Drosophila melanogaster: one gene and its partners. The protein of the gene in region 3 interacts with the protein of the main gene of each other region in a pairwise test. Each region holds a gene or a part of one and is shown on either strand. Other genes may lie near its edges.

What was found. Proteins that work in one complex are often made in the same cells at the same time.
Region 1: the proteins of REG (region 3) and CG12985 interact in a two-hybrid assay, tested with the Drosophila melanogaster proteins (one large-scale study listed by BioGRID).
Region 2: the proteins of REG (region 3) and CG34334 interact in a two-hybrid assay, tested with the Drosophila melanogaster proteins (one large-scale study listed by BioGRID).

Annotation. Positions count from the first base shown.
Region 1 is NC_004354.4:17,882,087-17,885,750, reverse strand, and holds CG12985 (uncharacterized protein), read right to left. Parts: upstream 2,034-3,664; 5' UTR 1,944-2,033; coding exon 1,276-1,943; intron 1,112-1,275; coding exon 667-1,111; 3' UTR 513-666; downstream 1-512.
Region 2 is NC_004354.4:22,870,808-22,875,879, reverse strand, and holds CG34334 (uncharacterized protein), read right to left. Parts: upstream 3,069-5,072; 5' UTR 2,865-3,068; coding exon 738-2,864; 3' UTR 513-737; downstream 1-512.
Region 3 is NC_004354.4:13,210,773-13,214,948, forward strand, and holds REG (proteasome regulator gamma), read left to right. Parts: upstream 1-1,552; 5' UTR 1,553-1,620; intron 1,621-1,677; 5' UTR 1,678-1,816; coding exon 1,817-2,186; intron 2,187-2,383; coding exon 2,384-2,751; 3' UTR 2,752-3,636; downstream 3,637-4,176. Other genes in the region: sno (strawberry notch), read right to left, coding at 328-330.

The DNA of each region.
Region 1 (3,664 bases), 4.7 Mb from region 3:
AAATAGCAATAAAAACAACGACGCAACAGAGCCGCAAAAGGTGGCAACCCTGCTTGCGTTGCACTTTTTACACCCAACCGCCCACAATTTTTCCAAAAAACAAATACATAAGGGAAAAGGAGGAAAAATCCAAACAGCTGGCAGCCTCGCATTGGCAGCTGTGATTTTCATTCGTTCTTCCGCTGGACAAGATGGCTTTTCCACACTATCTCCTTCTCTATTCCCCCTCCCACTCTCCTTCTCCTCTTTGCGATCGTGTTTCGTTGCGTCTTGGCCTTGCACTCATTTCCCATTGTTATTGTTTATTTCGCAAGAATTACGACACTGTCAGGCGAATTTGTTGGTAAACAATTGTGTATTGAAGCAGCTACGGTGGTCACTCGATACGGGGAAGATCTTTAATATGTACATAACTGACAATACATTAATGATTTGTAATGATATGTGCAAGCTATTTAGTACGATCTTAAAAGTAGGAAATAAATTAACAAGAAAACAAGGATTATACAACTCGCATTTAGGTAATACTTCATATTTACGCTCAAAAAGTGAAACTGAAATTGTTGAAAAATCTCGAAACTCTTATCCAAATAGAGTTAAAATAATTTGCAGCGTTTAGAAAAACAGAATTGTGGACGTAGCATCCGTTAGTAGGGAGCGCATTTGTTAGTACGAGTGATCCCCGTACAGTGAATTCCCTTGATAGCGATCCAGTCCGTTCAGGATTTTCTCCCGCCGCATTCGCTGTTGCTGCCGTCGGCGCTGCCTGTAGAGATCCAGGAGAGCATTGCAGGTGTTCCTGTCGAGTGCGTAACCGCGCGCTCCATTGGCCCTTATGGCGACAGTGGGTAGGCGGTGAACCGACGACTTGTACAGCAAACTGCCGGTGCCGACCTTTTGCTTGGCCTCCACGGCGGCGGATGCGGCGCGACAGGCCGCCTCCTTCACCTGCTCGTACTCCGACTTAGCTTGCGCCACCTGGCGGGCCAGGCGGTCACCACGTGCCTTCGCCGCCGCCAGCATTTGGTTCTTCTCCTCGATATCCATGTTCGACTGGTCGATTAGGCTGTCCATTTCCGACAAAATGCCACTCGTCTGCTGTACGAGGGCCCTGAAAACATTAGTAATCGAAAAAGCATTGATATTAAAAATCGATATGTTATCGCTGGTAGATATTATGATAGATATAACGATATAATTGTTCCGCTTTTAAATTGTGTAGATAGTTGGATGGATTGTGAACAATATTGAATATTGAATATTTATCAATTATACCTGAATGTTTCGGCTTGAACCTCCGCTGCTTTGACCACGGCACAGGAGGCCTCCACGTTCGTCTCACTGTTCTGCAGCGAGCAGCTCACCTGTCCGACCACCTCCTCGGCATCCCGGATCTCCCTAGCGTAGTTGTCCACCATTGCCTGTTTGCCCTCGAGCACCGCATCGGCGGCACGGGCAGCGGAGATGGCCTTTTCCGCCAGCTGCATCTTCGCCTGCCGCGATGCATCTTGAGCGGCGGCCGCCTGTGCATCATTGGCTGCCTTGGCCACCTGGGCGGCATTCTGGGCAATGTGGGTGGCCTTCAGCCGCGAATTGATAATCTCGTCACAGGAGTCACAGTTGTCCCTATCTCTAATATTATTCCTGTCTTTGTCCCGATCCCTGTTTCTATCGCAACCCCTATTTCGATCCCAATCTCGGCCTCGATCCCGATCAATATTGCGATCTTTTTCTCGGTCCCTAGCGCTTTCGTCCATGCTTTCACATCCAGATTGGTAGGACGGTCTTGTGGTGCATCCCAGATAAGGGAATGGCACCACTGTGGCCCCCGAACTACCATTCCCATCGCCGTTGAAGCCCTGGGGAGATATGTCATCGTTGGTGTTGTCCAAATAGCTAGCCAGGGAGGCGTCGTGTTCGTTGTGGGGCTGGTCGAAGCTCATCGCACGGACACTCACAATGCGGAGGATGATAAGGAGCAGGGTATATGGTGGAAATATATACATTTTGAATCCGGAATTTGAGGAAAGCGACTCAGGCTGCTGCTTTCAAAACTACTAGATATTCCATAGAATATATACATATTTCAGGGTATTTTGCGATTCTTTACAGTTGGCTGGCTTTCTAGTACTTTCGCATAGTATCAGTTTAATTGATGATGGGAACCCCTTAACTTACCGTCTAAAAGAGCTAGAACGTATTTGTGAAACGGAAAAGCAATTGTTTGCCCTTTAACGATTTTTTAATTGAGCTGAGTGGTTGCCCATACTTTTCCACCAGCGCTTTTCCAGCTTTCCCATTTCCCATTGTCCTGCAGGATAAATGGCTGCCATAGCGATGGGTAATCAGCACCTCAGTTGGCAGCTTTCGCACCTTGCTCACCTTTCGCACCTTCTTTCTCCCTTTGCCCAATGCAGTGTAAATGCGTATCAAGAATACTTCATTAGTGCCCAATTGCGGCGCAATTGCGACGCTGACGCAGCCAACTGGCTGGCTAACTAAGTATCTAACTAGCTAGCGGCTAGCTGACTAACTAGCTAGCTGGTTAGCTGACTAGCAAGCACGTGTGGCGAGCGGAGAAAGGGTAGAAAGCGGCATAGGTGTGGGTGGGCTGGGAAAAGTCGCACTTTATCACAACAAACCAGATGCTAAGCACGTGCTGCCATTTGTTTTGGTTATTATTATTGTGATTCCAGTCTCTAATCAGTGCGGCCAAATAAATAAGTGTGCGGAAAACAGAAACCATGAATGCAGTTAACTGGCGGTGGGGAAAACGCCACCTGGCGGAAGTAATATCAACAATTGCAACGATCTGTAGATACAGATTCATAGATACATAGATAGCGCTATAATAGATATTTGCGTATTTTTCATTTACACTGAATATACTAACATTTATTCCGTGAGAGAATTCAAATTCTTCGTTGAAATTACGCATAAAAGTCAGGGAAAACATGCTATCCGCATAATTGATTTAAGATTCAAGATGAGTTATTTGAAAGATGAAATTCCATAGATGCAGAGGAAAAAAACGTTTTTCGGGCAACACATTATTAAGTGAAATTCATGCCGGCCATTCAGTTCCTTTGTTATATATATATATATATATATATATGTACATACATGGTATATAGTATCGTTATTGTAGTCTTCTTGTTCTTGTTCTTCCTGCATTCATTATCATTGTTGTTGTTGCTGCCGACTGGTCACCAGTTTACTGCAGTCTGCTTGCGAAACTGAAATTTTCAATGCCACTGTCAAAGCTGCGACGTCATCCGTCATCAATGAATGCGCAGTTTTCAATTACCATACAAAATACAAAACAGTCAGTACAGTGGCGGAAATAGGGAATGATACGGCCATGTTCTCTATAAGAAAGTTGCAAAATGGCAGAACGTTCAATTCAATTGACAGCAAGTGTGCAAGGGAAATCATACACTTGTTTTCCAATGTGATCTTATGAGTATCGCAAACTATGAAAATATGGTATCGTTCGCTCGAATAGATTTAGAGACTTTATAATACAAACCAAATGCTCATTTTATGTTCTTTTTGATTTATAGAGAAGTAAATTTAATCATTGCCAACATCATTTATGTTTTATTACCACATTTTATCATAATATTGTGCATTTGATAAGTTTTTATTTAACGCGATCTTGAGA
Region 2 (5,072 bases), 9.7 Mb from region 3:
ATAAAATTATGAACAAACCAAAAAAAAGTGTGTGGGCGGTTTGTTGGCGATTGGGCGTGGCAACACGGGTCAGCAAGCTTTCACTGCGCATTTGTCTCTACAATCTGTATTCTGAATCTCAACCTTTTAGCTTTTATAGTTTCTGAGATCTCGACGTTCATACGGACAGACGGACAGACGACTTGTCTCGACTCGGCTATTGATCCTGATCAAGAATATATATACTTAATATAGTCGGAAACGCTTCCTTATGTCTGTTACATACTTTTCAACGAATCTATTATACCCTATTATATATATTATACCCTTATACAAGTTTTGGGCTTACCGTACTTTCGATATGGTTTGTTCTTGATTTTACATCGAATAGCGGTACTTTTTTTCTAAGCGTTCTCTACGAAATACCATTTACCTGTCTTTTGGTAATCGATTGATTGCAGTGGGCTTTTATATTATTACTAACAGATAACCACCTTACATACGATGATTATTTTCTGATATACCTCACAATTCTTTTTTGTGCGGAGCATGGATTTTTATTTTTATTTATTTTAAGCCCAACAATGTTTTTAAATTAGACTGGTATTAATAAGTAACTTTTAAAACGCACGATGTCCATCAAGTCTACATTTGTATTTGAAGTTGGAATGGAATAAAATAGGCATCTGGCAGAGTCCTGAAAATCCTGTCTGGCTTAATCTCGCCTTCCTTTTGCAACATTAGACAGGTCCGCCTATCTAGGGCGAACGCGAATCGCGTCTAGGGCGATGGTAATGCCCGTAGCGCGGCGATGAGCGAGTGTAGGAGCACGATTGCGAACGGTTGCGCCGAGAATAGCGCGATCCCGACATAGAGCGGACGCGAGAGTGGGAGGACCGCGACCCGTATTCCGAGCCGGACGCAGAGCGGGACGGCGATCGAGAGCGTGACGACGAGCCCGAGCGGGACAACGTACGCTGGCTCTGGCGCCGGTTGACTGGCGAGTAACGTCGGTATTGACGCCACGGCGCCTTTAGCATGCTTTCCTGAAAGGCGGACACCCTGATCAGCTTCCCATCGATCTGCCCGCCGTTCATATGCTTGATGGCACTGGCGCAGTCCTCTGGACGTGAGTACTCCACAAAGGCGTATCCGCGTCCCTGGCGCCCTTGGAAACGGTCCATTGGAAAGTCGACTGCCGTCAGGGCGCCGAAGTGACCAAATATCTCGGTTATGTGCTCCTTGGTCACCTGACGCGTCAATCCCTTAATGTGCAGGCGAACATTGCGCACGGGTTGGCGAAATTTGAAGGCGTCCTTTCCGTTTCTGTAGGCCACTTTGTTTACCTCACCCACGGCTCTGTAGCCCCGTCCACTTGCTTCTGCTCCTTCTCCATCCCCTTCACCGCGCCGATGGTTCCACTGGCTGCTGCAATTCCGCCCATTTTGATTTTGAACGCTTTGTTTTTGGCGAGTAGGTTCTGCACCAGCAGACGGTGAAGAGCCACGACGTGGAGGATCGTTGATCTTCGACGACTTGCCCTTGGGGCCTGAGCTGCCTGAGCGGTTCTGCTGAGGACTCTTGTCGTGATCTTTGGCTGTCGAGGGCCTGGCACTGGAGTGCAGCTGGGTGAAACTCGAGCTGGAACTGGTGTGGTTCCCGTGGCCTGAACTGGCGCTTGCGTTAGACCTGACCACCGCTTTCGAAGATGTGCTTGCCACTGAAGTCTTGGGGGCTTGGTAACCCGCCTTGCTGCCCGCGTTATTGGTGACAACCGTCTTTGAAGATTGGCCGGTACTGCTGTCCCCCTTATTTTTTGTGCTGGAGATGCTAGCGCCGCCACTTGAATTGGTTTCGGCCATACCAGTGGCGTTGGCAATCGTCTTTGTAATGGTTATAGTGCTAGACTGGATGATGGCTTGGTTGGTGCCGATAGAACTGCTGGCGGCCGAGGCGATGTTCTGCGAGGTGGAGCTGCGTCTACGAGACTTGCGGTCCAATACCACGCTGCTTGGCTCCCTCATAGGAGTTGGCATGGCGATCGGAGCAGGAATTGGTACCGGAACAGGGGCCGGAACGGGTTGCGGGTGGGGATTGTTATGGGAGCTGGAATGGCTATGGAGATGGGAGTGCGATTGCGAACGGGAGTGGGAACGCGGTTGTGCCTCCGAAACAGACAGGACAGCCGGAATGGGTGCCGGCACGGGCAGCGGAATGGGTGCCGGTATCTGAATGACCCCAGGGGCTGAAGCAGGAGAAATTTTTTCGACAACCTCCTCCTTAACCGTGATAGCTCCCTTGGCGGCGGATATGCCACGACGACTCTTTTTAGCCAAACGCTTGGAAAAGCGTCCGTGATTCGAGTGATGGCAACGGGTGACGTGCCGGCGACGGTGCGAATGACGAGGGTTTTGGTGGCGCCTATGGCGACGATGGTGTCGGTAATGGCAACACGAGTGCTTGGTGCGCTCAAACTTTTTGACGGATCCTTCTGGCTCTGGCTCGCTGTCGCTCGACGAGTAGCTGCTGCTGGTGGAGCTCAAAAAGCTTGTGCAGCTGGACGATCCAGAGGTGCTGTAGCTCGAGTCCGAGTAGCTGGAGTCGCTGCAGTCTGCTTCAGTGCTCTCCGAAGCATTCGAGTGAATTGGTGAGATGTTCCTCATCCGGGAGGAGGGGCCTCTGGCTGGCTCTTTGCGGTCCTTGCGGTCCTTGCGGTCCTTGCGGTCCCTGCGTTCTCTGCGGTCTCTGCGGTCCCTGCGGTCCATGCGCTCCATGCGTTCCAATCGCTCCCTGCGATCTTTCTTGTGCGAATGCATCTCCTTGCGTTCGCGCTTAGTGGCTGGCTCGCCATCGTCTTTTGCCTTCGTCCCTGATACCTTGGTCATTTTCACAAGATTTCACTTTCACTGCGAACAAATATGACGGCCTTCGAAACTATTTTGATTTGATGCTCCGTTACTCACACGTTGGGAACGGCTGCCTTATGAAAATGTAATGGCGTGTAAAAACTTGGTCTGACAACTGTCATAAAAATAAAAGCTGACCAAGCAAAGGCCACTCAATGATAGATAACAACTTTTTTGCTTTGTGGTTGCCACCTTAGGTCACCGCAGTAACGAATTCTCAAGCAATTTAACACTAGACCAGACCACATTAAGGATATAATCGTTGTCCAACACTTCGAAATCAGGGCTGTAACTATCGTCATTCAGGGAAGGCATTCCTATCACCTGTCAACATAATTTAAATATACACAGACAAGAAAAGGAAGGTAGCATCGGTAATACAAAGTTTATATACCCTTCCAGTTACTATACATTTAAATACAAATTTGTTGTATACCAAGTAAAAACACTTTATAATTAAAAGCACCGAAACTATGATCTCTTTATTATAACTAGCAATTAATATGACATATCAAATTTTGATCAAATGAACAATGTCCGTCTGTCTGTCCGTATAAACGTCGGGCTCACAGGAAGTATAAAAGATAGGAAGTTAGTTGTAAGAAAGTGTGCAGATTCGCAGATTAACTTAACCTATATATGTATGTTACGAACTGCCTTCTTTTTTTTAGTGGCAGTGCCCCTAGCTCAGGCTTTTCTCAGGGCGGAGTGCCACACAGCTTGCAACATAGGCATCGATAACTATCGACATCGACTATCGACCCTACATATCTATGATCTCTAAAAAGCAGACAAGCAAAAAAAAGTAGAAGAAAAAAAACGAATTCAATTTACATAAACGACAAAATCTTAAAGTACTGGCACCCAACCGACCTAGGTTGCACGAAGGATTATTGCGGACATCACTCATTATCAACACGTCGGTGTCGCTTCAAACGACTAGGACAGCCCCATCTCCCCAAAGGTGAAGCATTCCGGTATGCTTTCTTGTTTTATTACACATACATATAATTACTGATTAACTCTTACATTCTTTATTTTTTTCTTCAATCACTCATTAGGCAGCGATCACCCTAGATCGTCGACTGCTTTGAAATGGTCAAAATTAGTTGATTTTCTTTCAGATTATATTTCAGAAAGCTGACGATTCTTTAAAAGTGTACCAAATACCAATTACTTTTGGTATGCGGGATCAGTTTCGCTAAGCCAATTGGAATGAAGCACACGCTTTGGGGCTGACAGACTTTACAGTTGGTCAAAGTTGGATATAATTCTGAAAAAATCAACGACACAAAGGCTCACACGTTACATAAATGCTTAAATCAGCTCGAACAAGAGTGAACAAGGTTAGTTATAGTCCAAATATGCTAAATTCAAGCGTAATGCCATACCTGGTAAAATAAAAACTTCGAACACTTGTTTTTACTAAACATAAAAATGCGGGTCACAAACACATTATTTTTATTTCGAACATTTATTTCCTAAAGTTAACATAAGTTGTTAATTGAATTTGTTTTACTTTGTTTAAATTAAAGGTCAATAAACAAATACGAAACGTTACGCCAAATATTTAATGACCACGCGCTGAAACATATGTTTAAACAAGCAAAAACTCTTATGCTAACTCTTATAGGCTCAGACGGATAGTCAGTTAGAGTCAGTTAAAAAAGAAAAAACTGTATTTAAATATTTAAAAATGTGACTTTTGTCCCACTAGAAAAATCATCTGGCCCACTGGCCCACCGACGACAATTCAGACTCGCGATTGACACCGGATTTAGTGACAAATTCAGGTAAGCGTTTCAAAATAATTTACACAAAACAAAGCCTAATGGAATAATATATCCTAGCACCAGCGGTTGACGGCCGTTGAAATAATTGTGGCAGTCGACGTCTTCAGAGTGTCCAGGGAATCTACGGGAGTCAAGGGAGGTTGCCCTGGAAGACTCCTAATCCGAGCAGATTCTGACTCCTTAGTGTAGTGGACAAGCAAGTTACCAAAATACAGATGAATTTTCGACGGCGATGTAGACTGGCTTCACGAAATATTTATGTATTTTCCTGTCTTCCAATGCAATATTGCCGGGGGCCCTATTTCGTCATATTTCTAATCCCCTCCCGATTTGGGTCATTGGACATAATCCGGGCCATTTGAGAGTAATCCCGGAGTGAACCGGGATAATTCAA
Region 3 (4,176 bases):
ACGCGAATCTGCGATATAAAATGCATCCTTAGAAATTACAGAAGAAAACAATTGCAGATAAAAAAAACAGCAACAACAACAAAATGGGTGGACGAGGAAAGAGCGAAAGGCGCAAGAAAAGGAGAAACAACAATTATTGAATGAGTTGGCTACTGCTCCTTCTTCTCATTATTATTCTCCTTCATCAGCTTCTGCAGCCGCTTTGTTTTTGTTTTATGCATGTGTGTGTGGGTAAATGTGAGTGTGTCAAAATTTAGCAACAAAGAAATTTATATTAAGTCATGCTATTGACGGCAACAACAAAAAAGCCAGCTAACTTAAACTTACCATTTTGATTCTCCTGCTTACTGCTAACGGTGGTTGTTCTTGATGTTCGTCCCTCCGATGGTTCTTGTTGTTGTTGTTAACCACAAAAAAAAAATCAACAGACCGCGCACCCACGCGTTTTTCGTTCTTTTCTTGGTTTTTTTTTGTGTTTTGTTTAAAATTTATATATTAATTTCTTTTTAACAATGCGTTTTTGATGCTGTCAACGGAACAGAACAATTGTGCGGCAAGTTAGATAGCAAATGCAGCAAATATAAAAGGCTGGACTCCGCAATTTTCAGCGCGTTAGAAATGTTTTTGTTGTTGTTGTTCTTCCTGTTGTTATTGGTGTTGCGATAATGACTGCATGCGTGTGTGCATGCGTGTGTGTTGTTGTTGTTGAGTGTGTTTTTCTTTTGTTGCTGCACGCGGTATTTCGCTTCGGATAAATTTGTTCGTATGCGTTGTACCGCGCAATACACGCAAAACGAGGAATCGGAATAAAGGAGGAAGGAAACGAGAACGAGACGAGAATGAAGCGACGAAGCCGAAAACACACGTAACATGCCAACTATCGCAACTAACGAGATGCCAACTAGATAGAGCTGGAAAAACATCGATGAGAATCGATAATGGTGAAGCGAGAAAACGTCAGTTTGACGATTATTGATAAGAATGCCGATGTATACTAAAACTTATATTTGGGCACACTTATTTATAGCGTGTTTGCTCTAAAAATATTAATAGCTTAATATTACTTATAATATATATATATGGAAAATATTTTAAAAATATAGATATTTAAATGAAAACATTTTAAATTGCACAAAGGGAGACATAATAAACTTACTTGGTATTTAAACAAATCTATCGGTCTGGCACGCGGTGCACACAAGACTATCGATAAATGGCGCGCGTCTTATTTCTTTATATTTCATGATATATATCCGTTAAATTCTAATCACGTTACAACAAAGTATATGCAAGTTTAACATGGTAAATGAGAAGCGAGCTTCAGCTGTTGCATTTAAATAAATGATGCCAACTGCAATGTACATTAATGCATTTAAATATGTTTTGCCAACTTTAATGTTCAGCTAATTTGTTTATGAAACTGAAAGTAATTAGAAGACTTTCAATCTAAAAAAAGTATAGAAAAAATATATATTGACATTCAAGATATTTAAGATACTTGTGGGGTATTAATTTGCAAAATTTCTGCAAACTTCGACGCTATCGATAAGCATCGATTATTCTTTTTCTTCCACCTCTAGCACCACATGCGTGTTGTTGCTTGGGCATCAAAATTTGTCGGTAAGTCTGGTTTTCCCGCTTTCAATTTCGCAATCCGCCGACACAAGTCCCTAAAAGTCCGCCGATTTCAGACGGTCCGCGTTGCTGATTGTTATTGAGAAGATAAGGAACGAGAAGAACCGGTACTACGCCAGGAGACAGGACTCAGGATCAAAGGCTTCCACGGACACGAAAAGGAATCCACATAGCTAACGAAATGCCTAACGACACTGTGGTAAAGGTGCAGGAGTACAAGGACTCGTTGATCCTCAAGGCAGAGCTGCTAATCACCAAGGGGTTCCCGGAGAATATCGTCCGGCTGAACGAGCTGCTGGCCACGCCGATCTTCAACGAGCGCAACTTCGAAGAAGTGCACCAGGACCTCAACATCCCGGTCCTGCCGCCTCTCCTGGTTAAAAACGAGTTGGAGGATCGTGACAGTCTGCCCACCAAGCGCCAGCGCGTGGATGTCATCGTCTCTGGGCAGCCTGTCATGGGTCTGCCCGCCGGTACAGTGCCGTGCAACAAGCCGCTCTGCGAGATGATCAAGGTCGTCAAGCCTATCATCAGGAAGCTTGTGGAGGATTGTAAGTACACCGTATATTCAAGCGTCTCAACCTAATAAATGTTTTTATGCTATTCAAGAGCCCCTTCAATTTTCCTAAAACAATGAATTCCAAGAATTTTTACATTCGAACGGTACAAATGCCAGTAGCTAAAGTTTTGCCTGACATTAAGCTTTTTAATGAATACCTAGTAATTTCTGAATTGATTTCTTTTGCAGCCAATCTACTTAAGATGTGGATCTCCTTTATGATACCCAAGATCGAGGATGGCAACAACTTTGGCGTCTCCATTCAAGAGGACACGCTTGCCGAAATTCAAACTGTGGAATCCGAGGCGGCCGCCTTCTTTGACCAGATATCGCGCTATTTCTTGTCGCGCGCCAAGGTGGTGTCCAAGGTGGCCAAGTATCCGCACATCGATGATTATCGGCGCGCAGTCGTCGAACTTGACGAGAAGGAGTACCTCAGCTTGTGGCTGGTCGTTTGTGAGGTCCGCAATCGCTACTCCTCGCTGCACGACATTGTTATTAAGAACCTCGAGAAGCTAAAGAAGCCGCGCTCCTCAAATACCGAAAGCCTGTATTAGGCTAGGTATTTCCGAAGCCCGAGCCTCAACTTTTTTTTTTCCTTTCCATCATCTTACTTTTCAATCAATAATCAGCCCGTAGAGCGGACGGTCAGCAATTCTTGTCGCTACTCAAAAAGCTAAGATTTTCCAATTCGGTTTACAAACATCAAAATTCTTTAATTGAAGAGCAGTGATTGAACAATAGCTGTAGCCTAACTACCATCAACTATTAATCCATTTGTACTACGTCTAGAATGTAATGTTGAGATTGGCGTACAATACAAGAAACCGATGCTGTATAGATTCCACTAATAGCTATAGCTATGCATAAAAAGAATAGGCGAGCTCCATTGACACATTTTTTCAACATTTCCTAATGTAAATTTATAACACGGGCGCCCCTCATACGGAAAATGTCCTTAAAAATGTGTGAAATATAAATCTTTATAAGTAATTCGCTCCGAATAGGTAACACTGTGCTTGTTTTCTTGTTTTACGTATTGACTATGGGTTCTACTTTGGGGATTGATATCTATCGCAAAATCGAAACAGGCGCCCAGACATTTAATAAGGTGGAAATTATTGCATTCGATGCGGCCAATCGAAAAAGACAACCTTCTGATTTAACAGTTCAGAAAATTCTTAACGTTACTATGAATTAAAAATGCCCGCCAAAATGTCACATAGTAAATTCTTTTGCGTTCGATATTTGTTTAAAACTGGAAAAAAAAACAAGAATTAAATATTGCTTACCAAATCTACCAATTCTGTATATATGCACAATTTCTTTAAGTGTGTTTGCCAGACAGCTGCAATGCTATAGCTGCCTGCTACGGCACTTCGGTTCGAACATGTTCGCTTCAAACGCCCGCCAAACAGAAAATTCAAAACACCAAATGGTTTAAAAAAAAGGAAGTGTATATTGAATAAATCAAGAACATAATTACTATTTACAGCTAGTACTATCGAATTTATATTTACAACTAATTTAACTACATCTCGACCCCATACATACAAAAACATACATAAAAAACTAACATCTCTAGTTTTTTTCTCACAATTTTAAAAACTATCACTTAGAATAGCTGACGGAAAACAAACAAAATAAGAATATTCTTGCTGGTGTGTGCTAAATTTAGTTGCGTGGATTATTTATAGTAATGCATTAAGTTAGTGCTAATACTTTCGATTTCTTTTTTTTTTATTTAATTATTTTCTTTTGATCCTAACTCGTGTCCGGTAAATTGGACTTTCGATTCGATTTCGAGGCACTTTTAATTTGTTGTTGGCAGTGGTTAAGTATATATTCTATATTCGGAATTTTCTCGTCGTTCCCTACAACTTAGCCTGTAAGGCTTAAATCTATATATGACAATAACATTTTTCACAAAGATTATCAACGTTTTGGGCTTAGCTAAATCTTTAAATCTAAGCTCAGTACTG